Linked DNA regions of Callithrix jacchus. The protein of the gene in region 1 interacts with the protein of each later gene in a pairwise test. Links are inferred from orthologs where the notes say so. Each region holds a gene or a part of one and is shown on either strand. Other genes may lie near its edges.

Region 1 (3,742 bases):
AAACTTTTTGTCACCACAAACAAAAAAATATTGCCCTAAATAAAGGAATGGACAAAGACAGAGGCCGATTCCTGGTGTCTGTCTCCCCTCCCCTTTCTACTGAGTCCTTACCTTATGCCCAAGTCACAGGAAGAGCTCCTCACCTTGGAGATCTATTTTCCTACCGCTTTAGATGCTGAAAGGGACACCTAACATTAATAACTGCAATATTGTGGCCGTATCAAAGAATCCTACGTTCAAAACCCAATAAAGGTTCTGGTCAGAAATCCTCACGCCAAAATATAACTACAATAACCTGTAATTTATTTGGAAACTACAATCATAAGCTTTCCAATCGGTTTAAAAAAAAAAAACTCACATTCTTTCTAGTTACCACAGCCAGTTTAATTAAATAGCCCCAATCCCCACAAAACAGAAAGCATTCAAGTATCATTTGTTTCCTACGGAGAACACTAATAGATGAAGAGGGGAACATCTGGAGATGAGGGCGGAGGGGAGTCTTCCAATATAAGCACACCTATTTGTTTGATTTTTCAACACTGAAATAAAGAGAGCTGACCTTGAGCTGTACTTCCCCATTTTATCCCTTCCCTCCCCCAACAGCAACTTTGTTCAATACAAATAACAAAGAATTTACAAGACGAAATTTAGTTCAGCATATTTCGTATATTTGAGCTCTAGAGGACTTGTCTTATTTTCAAATCCCTGAATCCTCATTTCTGATAATGGGAACCAGCCCTGAGGTTATTCACATGACCAAATCGGCATTTCCAGGAAAGCAATGGCCCTCTGAAACATTTTGAAATATAGGTAGCTTAACCAGGAAAAATCTCACATCAAGGACACTAGATTCCAACCATGTCTCACCCCACCGTACCATGCAAAAGCATGAAAACCACAGCAGCCGCATACAGGACTTCTGGTTTCGGTAATACCACAGTATCGAAAAATTCTAAATGTGAGGGAAATTCAAGTCTACAGGTCAAAAAAGGTGGATGGGGGGGAGGATGAAGAAGAAACTTCCTGGCAGACACAATGGATATTTCGATCAAGTTCTGAAAGAGGACTGAAGAACCAATTAAGGGCAAAGGGACAATGAGCAAAGAGGAACTACTCAAAGTCCTACATAAACCCACTTATTTAAAATAAAAAATAATAATAAAAAAAAAGAATAGGACCTCCAACCTTCATAACTCAAAGACCCCAGGCCCAGCCGAGTGCCTGGAAGAGGCAAAGGTCCCCCACGAAGTACAAACCCGCATTTCGAGCCTGCAGAGTCAACCAAAATACAGTTACTAAACGCTACTGGAAACAACTTTATTTCAACAGGTCTTTTTTTTCCCATGTGTCATGAGGGTGCGGACAAACTGTAAAGTCATCGTTTTCCCAAACGCGAGGACGAAGGCTCGAACCCAGAGTCGCGCAGCCCCCTGGTCTCCTGGTTCCATCCATCAGAACCCGCTGCTGACGGAGCCAGAGAAAGGTTACAGGAACTTCGAGCTTCACCATTTAGAGCGCGGAAAAGGGGCGGGAGCCCGGATCTTCTGGACCTCCCCGGAAGGCGGCGAGGGGGGAAAAGCCCGAAACCCCTCACTCCGCGGCGCCGGCGGACGCAAAACAAACCCGACCGCGGCCCCGCAGCCCGCCACCGCCCAGGACCCAGAGCAGCGATGCTCGCTCGCCCGCTCCCCGCTGTCACCCAGGGCGGCCTCCCGACCCAGGCCCGAGGAAGCGCATCGCGTTCCAGGCTCTCCTTTGTGAGACTCCACGGCCGCCGCCCCACACGAAGCCTCCGGGGAGAAGCCACCGCCCCCACCCGCCATATTTCCCTGAAAGGCGCCCGCGCTACAGCTCCCGGTCTTGGCGCTCTCCCGTGTGGAGGGTGCTGCTTCCCCCGTCACCCTACCCAATCGTTCTCCACCTCCCAAGGCCGTCCCGGAAGCTTCCCTGGGGGTGGCCGGTTCCGCGGCAGCGCCCGCCATCTCCTCCCCCTCCCCCGCCCCGGGATTCGCCCTCCCCCCAGCCGCCATTTTACAACCAACTCCTCCACCCCGGCCTCTCGGCCCGCGAGGTATGTGTAGCTGAGGACAGCGAAGGGGTCACATTCCGGGGCACACGGCCTCCCGTCGCTCCGGGAGTTCCCAAGCCAGGTTCCGCTCCCCGAACCCAAGTCCCCGGGCCACGCTCGCGGACGATGCCGCCATTTTGTCTCCCGTTCCCGGCCTCTGTGGGCGGCGGCAGAGGGTCCAAGAATTCCAGCCCCCCGTTGCCCCCACAACTCACCGTCGTATCGCTCAGCCTGCTCGGCCAGCTTCGCCTGGTACACCAGATCCTCCCGATCATCCATAGCGGCAGCGGCTCCGGCAGGGTCTGCGCGACGGATGGAAACGGATAGTGTCTACGACTCTCTCAGCCTTTCGCTCCGCGTCCGGGCAGCAAAAATGGCGGCGCCTCAATCCGGGACTTCCGCCTGCGCACGCGGACAACTGCTCAGCTCTATGGCAACCGCTCCCTGGCAACTGGCGCGGGGGGCGGGTCCTGGAACCTGCGCCGGAGACGCCCCTCCTCCGTCCGCTCAGCGGGCGCCGGGGCCTAGAGGCGGGAACTGCGACTGCCGCGAGGGAGCGGCCCCCGGGGAACACGACGGCGGTGGCCAGGCCGGCCCGGGCTGCTCCTGAAAACCGCGGGCGCGAGACCTGGGCCAGACTGACGGCCGACGTCCGGCCTGCGGAAAACCACCACGGAGGCTGGGACGGTTTCTGTCATCATAGCAGGTCTTCCTGCCTGAAATCAGCGCTGTTTCTACCGCGCCCTGGTTTTCTTTTTCCTTTTTCTTTTTCTATTTTTTTGAGATGGAATTTCACCCTATCGTCCAGGCTGGAGTGCGATGGCGCGATCTCGGCTCCCTGCAACCTCCGCCTCCCGGGTTCAAGAGATTCTCCCGCCTCAGCCTCGCGAGCAGCTGGGATTACAGGCATGCGGCTCCACGCCCGACTGATTTTTGTACTTTTCGTAGCGAAGGGGGTTTCTTCATCTTGGCCAGTCTGGTCTCGAACTCCTGACCTCAGGTGATCCGCCCGCCTCGGCCTCCCAAAATGCTGGGATAACAGGCGTGAGCCACCGAGCCCAGCCAGCGTCCTGGTTTTCTCCGCCAAGCCTGGTCGTGGGCCTTTTGCAGACACTTTTACCCTCAGGGTAAAGAGCTGGGCCCTGGCCCCGGCGCGGTGACTCACTCCTGCCATCCTAGCAGTTTGGGAGGCCGAGGCCAGCGGATCACTGAAGTTGGGAGTTCAAGACCATTCTGGCCAACTTGGCGAAACCCCGTCTCTACTAAACAATGTACATATGAGGCGGGCGCGGTGGGGGGCGCCTGTAATCCCAGCTACTCCGGAGATTGACGCAACAGAATCATTTCAAACCGGGAGGGGGAGGGTGCGTTGAGCCAAGACGGCGCCATTGCACTCCAGCCTGGTCAACAAGAGCAAAACTCCATCTGAAAAAAAAAACAACACTGGGCCCTATTACAGTTGGCAGGGACAGGGGAGCTGCAGTTTTCACGCCTCCACTTTGCCCTCACACTCATCTTTATCTTCTCCTGTTTAACCTTTTTTCCCCAGAGGCTGCCATGAATGGGAGCAGGGAAATTGTTAGAAGAGGATGGTGTGGAGTACATAGTATAGAATAGTCGAACTGAGATCAATTTAAGATTGAGGAGGCAGGAATAACTCAGGGAACATTGCTT
Region 2 (3,742 bases), on another chromosome or scaffold:
CCGCCTCTTAGCCCAGGGCTCCCCCGGGGTCAAGCCTGCTGCCAGCTCGCCTTTAGGGAGAAAGAACCCTAAAGAGGGCAGCGTTACATCTGCCTGCTGAGTACAGCGGCTTCTTTTCTAATAGATTACTGCTCTTTTTAGGACGAGATTTGATCTCTAAAATCAGAGCCCAGAACACAGAAAGCTATACAAGTCTTACAATGTGTCGGGGTGTGTTTTTAAGACATGAAAATACTTCCCTCCCACACAAATGTGAGTTCTTCTGGGGAAAGATGCCACGGATCCCAGAGTAGACTATCTGGGAAAGCGCGATCAGTCTTAAAAATAGGTAATTGAAGACAGATTTTAGAATTCACACGAGCTACCTGAAAAAAAATTACATCTCTCATATTTTTGATATCCAAAACTCCTTCCTGATGAAACTTCTAACTGGGTGGCATTTCGCATTTCCAATTATAATAGAGTAATTGTGTTGCCATAGTTACTGCAAAATTCTGCAATAACTTTTGCTGCTTTGTAACTGCTTTAGTGTATATTTGTGTACAAGCAGCTGAGTTTTCTTAACTCTATCTCCCTCCCTTCCTCCCTCCCCCTCCCCAGCCGCCACCGCCACCACCTTCCCAGGCTGGGTCCTGAAACCACCACACCCGCCTTCTTTGGACGGTCCCGAAAATAATGCACAGAATTATCAGAAGCAATTAAAACTCCAGGCAACCACGATCATATTACAAAAGAAAAAGTGAAACCAGGTCAAGGTGCAAACCTGCCAGTATCCCCCTCAGTCCTGCTGGGCTGGCGCTGAGCCAGGGCTGTTTACAGGTTTACTCCCAGGCCTTACTGCTTCGGCGATTTGTGGGAATAAACAGAAATGCCTGAATAGAGAAAAACGGGGCGGCAAAGTGGCTACACAGGCCCTTTCCTCCCTCACCGAGGGCAGGCAGAACTGCTCTCAGCAAGCAATTAGGTAGGTCTCCACAGTCATGCAATTAGGATTTAGTTAAGAAAGTCATTAGTTTTAAAATAACTTAAGTTTAATTTCTGCAACGCTTTATTTGAAAATTGTGTCACAGCAGGTCAATTTACAACATGCAATAAAGAAAACACTCATATCAGCTGCCTCAAGTTATTACAAATTTTTGATGTGCATTAAATGAGTACACAGGGTTCCACCCCCGGCCCTTCCGACTGATACACACGGTCTCCCGCTAGAACAGTGTCAAATAATTCAAAGCTCAATGTAAATACAAGATAATTTGCTTATGATTCTGTGGTGTGTTTTCGCAACGCCGAGAAACGCGGATCCCACCCCCGAGCGGGGCCGGGCCCCATCTCGGCCTGTGGACGCCCCACGGGCTGAGCCGAGGGGGTCCCAGGCAGCCCCCCGCCCTCCCACGAACCCCGGGGGCTCACGGCGGCTACGACACGCGCGGGGCCGCGGACCCCTGCGGGGAGGTTTTTCTGCAAACTCACAGCATTTGACAAAGTTACATAAACGGCGCCCGCCCGCCCCCGCCCTCACTCCCGGCGGCCCGGAGCCCACCTGCTTGGGGGGCGCGGGCTCCGCACCGGGCCACGGCGCCGCTGCCGGCCGTGCCCACCCCCGCGCCCCCGCCCCGGCGAGCGAGGCCGCCTCGCGGCGCGGCTGGAAAGGTCCAGAAGGGGCCGGGCGGCCCTGGGGACCGCCGGGTCCCACGGCGCGCGGCCCGCGCTGGCCCCCGCCTCCCACGGCCGCGCGCGGGGCGGGTGTGGACCGGCTGCGTCCACCTGCCGCGGGCTCCGAGGCCTGCGGGCGGCGCGGGGCGCGGGACGGGCGGCGGACAATGGCCCGCGGGCGCCGGGCCGGGGCTGCGCTTACCGCGGCGGGCGGCGGCGGGCGGCTCTAGCCCTGCTCGGGCGCTCCGCGCCGCATCTCCTCAGCCTGCGCCGCCACCCGCCGGCGAGCGGGCTCGGGCTCGGGCGGCGACAGCCGGGACGCGGCCGCAGCGCCGCCGGGGGCCCAGGCTGGGAGGCTGCTCGGGCGGCGGCGGCAGCGGCGGCGCGGGCGGGAGCGCGGGCTCGGGCTCGGGCTCGGGCGGCGGCGGGGACGGTGCTCCGCGGCGGCGGCCCCACAACCTCCCCTCCTCATTCACAAAAAATTGACCCACGTTGAACCATGATGCTTCTCCCCCCTCCAGCGCCGAGCCGGGCGGCAATAGGCCACCCCGCACGCCCGTCAGCCGACCCGGCCCCGCCCCGCCCGCCGGCGGCTCATCAGCTATTGGCTGCGGTAGCCTTGCGTCACCTCCCCTTGCGGGCCCCGCCCCGCCGCCTGGTTTCTAATGAAGAGCTCGTCAATTACGGCTCGGCCCCGCCTCCTGCCCGCCCGCCCCGGGCGCCTGGCCGGCCATCCATTGGTCCTCTGGGGCCTGCGCACAGCCCGTCTGCTCCCACCCCTCGCCCAGGAGCTGCCCAACCGCGGGGCCGGACGCCCTATGAGCGACAGAGAGGCTCCACCCATGCCCGCCTCCCCGCACACGTCCTGGACCTCATTGGCTCTCGGAGCTGCCAATTCCAGGGGGCGGGCGTACCGAAGGACGCTCCAGGCGCCAGCCACTGGGTGTTTCGCTTTGCGGTTGGGGAAGCGCTGGGACCCGGGGCCAGCAGTGACCGTAAACACTGGCCCTGGCCGTATCGTCCCAATCAGTAGCCCGCATGGCTGTCTAAGGGTCAGCACCGCGTGTCTGCGAGCCTAATTCGCGCTTAGAGAGCACACAATGGGATGCAGGCTGAGGCCGGGAGCCGGCCAGGCCTCGCCGCGACCTCCATCTTAGGTACTGGCAGTAGGTCACGTGGTGCTGCGTGCGCACGGAGGCGCAGGGCGGCCGGGTCACCGAGTGCGCAGGCGCGGCGGGCCTCGCCCTGCCCCGCGGCGGGAACGCGGCCGTGGGGGTGCGGAGCGCAGGCCGGTCAGGCCTACAACGGCGGGTCGTGGGACGCGGCCTTCGCATCCCTGCGCAGACGGAGATAGTCCGGGCCGCCGCCAGGGTCTCCAGTCCCGGGCCGGGCAGACGTGGAGGGGGCGGGAGCGGCGCAGTGGCCGGGTGGGCGTTGTTTTAAGGCGGCGGGGCTTGTGGGGGGGCTCGTGTGGTTAAAGGTCGGGCCCGGCAGCCCCGCGAGCGCCTTTGGTGGCCACAGCCGAACGGTGTGGGCGGTGGTCTTCAGTGGCCACCTCCTGGCGGTGAAGTTGCCATTTCTTTCCAGCAGGAGTGTGACAACTTTTCATCTTTGGTGCACAAGATGAAACGCGGAACCCCGCGTTCCAGGGAGGAAGCGCCTTTGACAGCTCGCGCCGGTGCGTGGGCCCTGCCTGCGTGGGCCCCGGGACGCTGGGCCTGGCGGAGATGCCCGTCCGCTTCGACTGTAGGCCGTTCCTCCTCGGAGCTGAGCAAGGATCCGTCCTTATGGCATTCTCGACCTGTGATTCTTGGCGGGGGTGGGGGGGTGATATTGTAGTTATGTGGATAGAAATACAGTTAGCAAAATAAAAATGCCAATTTTACATTAAACGTCTCAATAACTCATAATTGGAAAACTTTGGTCATTGTAAGAAATGCTTACTCTGAGATGGCTGAACGCGGAAGGAAAGGAATGGTGAATGACAATTTTAAAACAAGATAGAGCTGAACAGGGGAGCGATTACGGGGTTTTGGAGGCTTAGCTGCTGATGGAAACGGTGCGCCATCAAATTTTCCTGTAGAATGAA
Region 3 (3,742 bases), about 40 Mb from region 1:
GAACCCTCACGGCCACTTTCACTGAGGCACCAGCCATGGCTCCAGACACTCCTGCCCTCCTCAGCTGGAGGACAAAAAAAGGTATGGTACGGACAGAGCCACTGGGGGGACCCAGACATTGTCTCCCAGCTTCTTCCCAGAACCAGCCTCTTCACATCTCCCCAGAGCCAGCCTCTCAAGGACCCAGTTCTCACCCTCCTGGCTTTCCTCCCAAATGTCACTGTCTTGAGAGACTCCCAAAGGTATTTCTGCCTTTCTCCCCAGCTATATTCCAGCTTGCCGGGACCTGGGCCGTCTCCCCAGAGTTACCTGGCGTCCTGGCCCCAGACCAAAGGGGCTGTATCAGTTCTGGCTGCCACCGGCCCTCGTAGGGGGAGCCCCATCCTATTCCTGGGGCCTGGCCACACCAGCTGGGGCTCTGGGAGATACCCTGGTTGTGAGGGAAGAGTTGTTAGGAAGCACCAGCTCCAGGGACCTGTCTGGGGTTCCCAGGTTGGAGGGCCACGAGTAGGGGGGCAATGGTAGGAAAGGTACGGACAGCTGCCCCTCTGGAGTGGCTGAATGCAATGTGAATCCAAGGGCAGGGACGGTGATATTTTTATTCCTTGTCACTCAAAAGTGTAATCAACATTCAGATAGAGGAGGGAGAGAAAGAGGCTGGAGAAAGGGCAATCCAGAGAGAGGGGCACATGGGCAGAGACATAAGGGTGGCAGTAAGAAAGAGAACAGGGGCAGAGAGTCACAGACAGCAAGCAAATAAGAGAAATAAGACAAAAGGCAAATCTGCAGTCATGCTATGAAGGAAAGAAGGGGAGAGGAAAGGAAGAAGAGACAAGAGGACAGCAAACACAAGGTGTTAAAGAGGCAGAGTAGGGAACTCTCAGGCCAAAGCACAAACTGGGAGCCTAGAAGAGAGATGAGAGGAGAGGAAAATGCAAATGCAAAACTTGTCCTTTGGGTCGGGCACAGTGGCCCAGGCCTGTAATCCAAGCACATTGGGAGGCCAAGGTGGGCAGATCACAAGGTCAAGAGATCGAGACCATTCCGGCCAACGTGGTGAAACCCCATCTCTACTAAAAATACACAACTCAGCTGGGCATGGTGGCACACGCCTGTAGTCCCAGCTACTTGGGAGGCTGAGACAGGAGAATCGCTTGAAACCAAGAAGACAGAGATTGCAATGAGCCAAGATCATGCCACTGCACTCCAGTCTGGCAACAGAGGGAGACTCCGTCTCAAAAAAAAAAAAAAAAAAAAACTGTCCTAAAATTCCCCCCCCAGTGTCTGTCAGCAAGAGAGAATCCAGTTCCCACCTAGGGCCCACAATCTCCACACACCAGGCCCATACTGCTGATGGACAAAGTCCAAGGACTGGAAATACAACCCAGGACTGGGATCCACAGGGCCTACTTCGTGGGCTCTAAGCCCCTTGCCCAGCCCCCAGCACTTCCTCCTCAGGATCCAGGACAATGGGCAGGGGAGGGTGGGGTCATCCTGTATCCATCAGACCAACCCTCAGGGCACCACCCTTGAGGCACCCAGAAATACCTGTCTTTGAGGGTAGAGGGTCCCTAGGGCCTCCCTGAAAGGGAGAAAAAGAAAAGAAAGCCGGCTGGTCCCAGCCTGGGGCTAGTGCTATGGCGTCCACTGTCCTGGGGAAGGTGCCAGGCTGGAGCCCAGGAATGTGGGTGATCGGGTGCCCACACCCTGGGAGGAGAGGTTGAGCAGCCCACGCCCACGGAGCGCAGGGAGGAGGACCATGAAGAAGGATAAGGGATGCTGAGCCCCCTCCTGTGGCCCCAGTGGGCCCTAAACTCTTGTCACACTGGACCTCCCCTCACCAGCCTTCCTGGGTAGAGTATGGAACGGTGAGAGGACTGGTCTGTCCCCAGACAGGAAGGGAGTAGCTGGAATCACAGAAGCTGGCTCAGGAAGAACAGCCCTGACCCCCGAAACCCTGACCAGGGGAGGGAAGTACACTGGTGGAGACAAGCAATGGTGACGCCGCTGCTGTGGCTAATGGGACAGAGAATCGGTGGCACGGCTGGGAGCCGGCGGGGTAAGGGAATAGAGGTAGGGACAGGGTTGGCCGGTGCAGCTGTGAAGGAGCAGAGGGCTACAAGAAGGATACTGGGCGGCTGGGGTGGGGCCGACAGGGCCGAAAGGGGGTCTAGGGCCACCCGCACCTTACCCACCCAGCGGTTCTCACACAGGTCCCCGCCCGGTTTCTCCAGGCGGCCATGCGGACCCGTCCTCCTGTCCAGCCAGCCGGCAGCCGCCCGGGCCTGGCACCTCACTGCGCCTCCGCGGAACAAACAGCACATGATTCCGGCTCTGGAGCCTAGGTCGCGCCGCCGGGAAACGCAACCCGGACCCCGGCACCCCGCCCCCCAACCCGGCACATTCCTCCGCGGGCGTCCCTTCCCTCCCCCTTCCCCAGCCCTCACCTCGGCGCGACGGGGCTCCCGGAGCAGCTCCGCGGAGTGAGAGGGGCAAGCTTTCCGGGAAGCGTGAGGCGGCAGCGGGGAGGATCCGGGGCCGGTTCGGAGCTGCCCCCGCCCCTCGCCGGGTCCCCGGGCGGCGGGCGGCGGACTCGCGCCCCGGGGGCGGCAGCAGTAGCGGCGCCAGCGGCCGGCGCCCGCCCGGGCAGCGCGAGCTGGGGCGGGAGCAAGGGGCGGGGGACGCGCGGGCACGCGCGGAGGAGCGGGCGCGCGCAATCCCAGGAAGGGGCCGGGAGCGACCCGGGCTTCTCTTGTTAAAGGGGCAACGCTCCCGGCCTGTGGGGCCCAGTGAGCGCGGACGCGGGAACTGAGCTCCGGACGCGGAACGACGGACAGACACCGCGATACAGGAGGGTTGCGGATGCCTAAGGAACAGGGAAAAGTCAGGGGCTGACCGACGGGGGGAGACGCAGTCCCGGGACCCGCGCACGTCGCCGCCGTCGGAGGCAAGGCCAGGGGGCGGAGCCTCCTGCCGAGGCCCGCCCAGAAGGTGGCTCCGCTGAAGTCCCACCCTCAGGCGCGCGCCGTCTGCCAGCTCCTCCCGCTGCTCTAATCGCAGTCTCTCTCCTCCCCGCCCTGCCAAGTTCTAGAATTCGCCGCGCAGCTGCTTCAGGTGCTGAGGCCAAGTGCGGCCAGCCGTGACGCGGCTCCTCGGGCGCTCTGTCCCCGCCTGGCCCTTAAGTTCCGTCGCCACGGCCGCCGCCTCAGGCCCAAACAATCCCTTCAGGCCCCTGTGCCGCCTCAGGCCGGAGCCGCTCTCTCAGGCCCCGGACTCCCCTCAGGCCCCAGCCTGCCCCTCAGCCTGGGCCCACCACCTCAGGGCCCCTCTTCGAGGGGGAAGCAGGTCCCCACTCTCGCCCTCGGGCTCTACTGCCCCGAAGGTCCGGCCACGTCCGGTCCACCTGCAGAGGGTCCCAGTCGCTCCTTCAAGCCCAGGCCGCGCCCTTCGGCCCGGCACTTCCCTCAAGCGGGGCTCGGGGCTCCGGGCTCCAGGCAGCCCCTCAGCCCCAGCCTGAACCTCGGGTCCTCATCCACCTCCCCAGGCCGGGGCCACCCTGAGGTCAACTGTGGAGGATCCTTCCTGGATTCCTTAGCTCTGTCCTGCCCTTCGATCTAGGTCACCCGCTCGGGCCCAACTATCCGAGGCCCAAATGCCCCGCAGCTCCCGCTGCCCCCCAGGTCCTGCTGACTGCCCTCCGAAGTCAGGACATCCCTTTCAGACCCCACTTTAGCCCCTTTCA

What was found. The genes of interacting proteins can lie anywhere in the genome.
Region 2: the proteins of YWHAE (region 1) and HDAC4 interact in binary tests that used the Homo sapiens proteins (3 or more experiments, as listed by UniProt). The link is inferred for Callithrix jacchus from reciprocal best matches to the Homo sapiens genes YWHAE and HDAC4.
Region 3: the proteins of YWHAE (region 1) and KIF1C interact in binary tests that used the Homo sapiens proteins (3 or more experiments, as listed by UniProt). The link is inferred for Callithrix jacchus from reciprocal best matches to the Homo sapiens genes YWHAE and KIF1C.

The regions. Positions count from the first base shown.
Region 1 is NC_133506.1:66,853,274-66,857,015, reverse strand, and holds the start of YWHAE (14-3-3 protein epsilon), read right to left. Parts: upstream 2,460-3,742; 5' UTR 2,348-2,459; coding exon 2,284-2,347; intron 1-2,283. UniProt on the Homo sapiens protein: Adapter protein implicated in the regulation of a large spectrum of both general and specialized signaling pathways. Binds to a large number of partners, usually by recognition of a phosphoserine or phosphothreonine motif.
Region 2 is NC_133507.1:160,740,912-160,744,653, forward strand, and holds the start of HDAC4 (histone deacetylase 4), read right to left. Parts: upstream 2,188-3,742; 5' UTR 2,145-2,187; intron 1-2,144. UniProt on the Homo sapiens protein: Responsible for the deacetylation of lysine residues on the N-terminal part of the core histones (H2A, H2B, H3 and H4).
Region 3 is NC_133506.1:106,566,683-106,570,424, reverse strand, and holds the start of KIF1C (kinesin-like protein KIF1C), read right to left. Parts: upstream 2,649-3,742; 5' UTR 2,448-2,648; intron 2,297-2,447; 5' UTR 2,196-2,296; intron 431-2,195; 5' UTR 310-430; intron 65-309; 5' UTR 38-64; coding exon 1-37. UniProt on the Homo sapiens protein: Motor required for the retrograde transport of Golgi vesicles to the endoplasmic reticulum. Has a microtubule plus end-directed motility.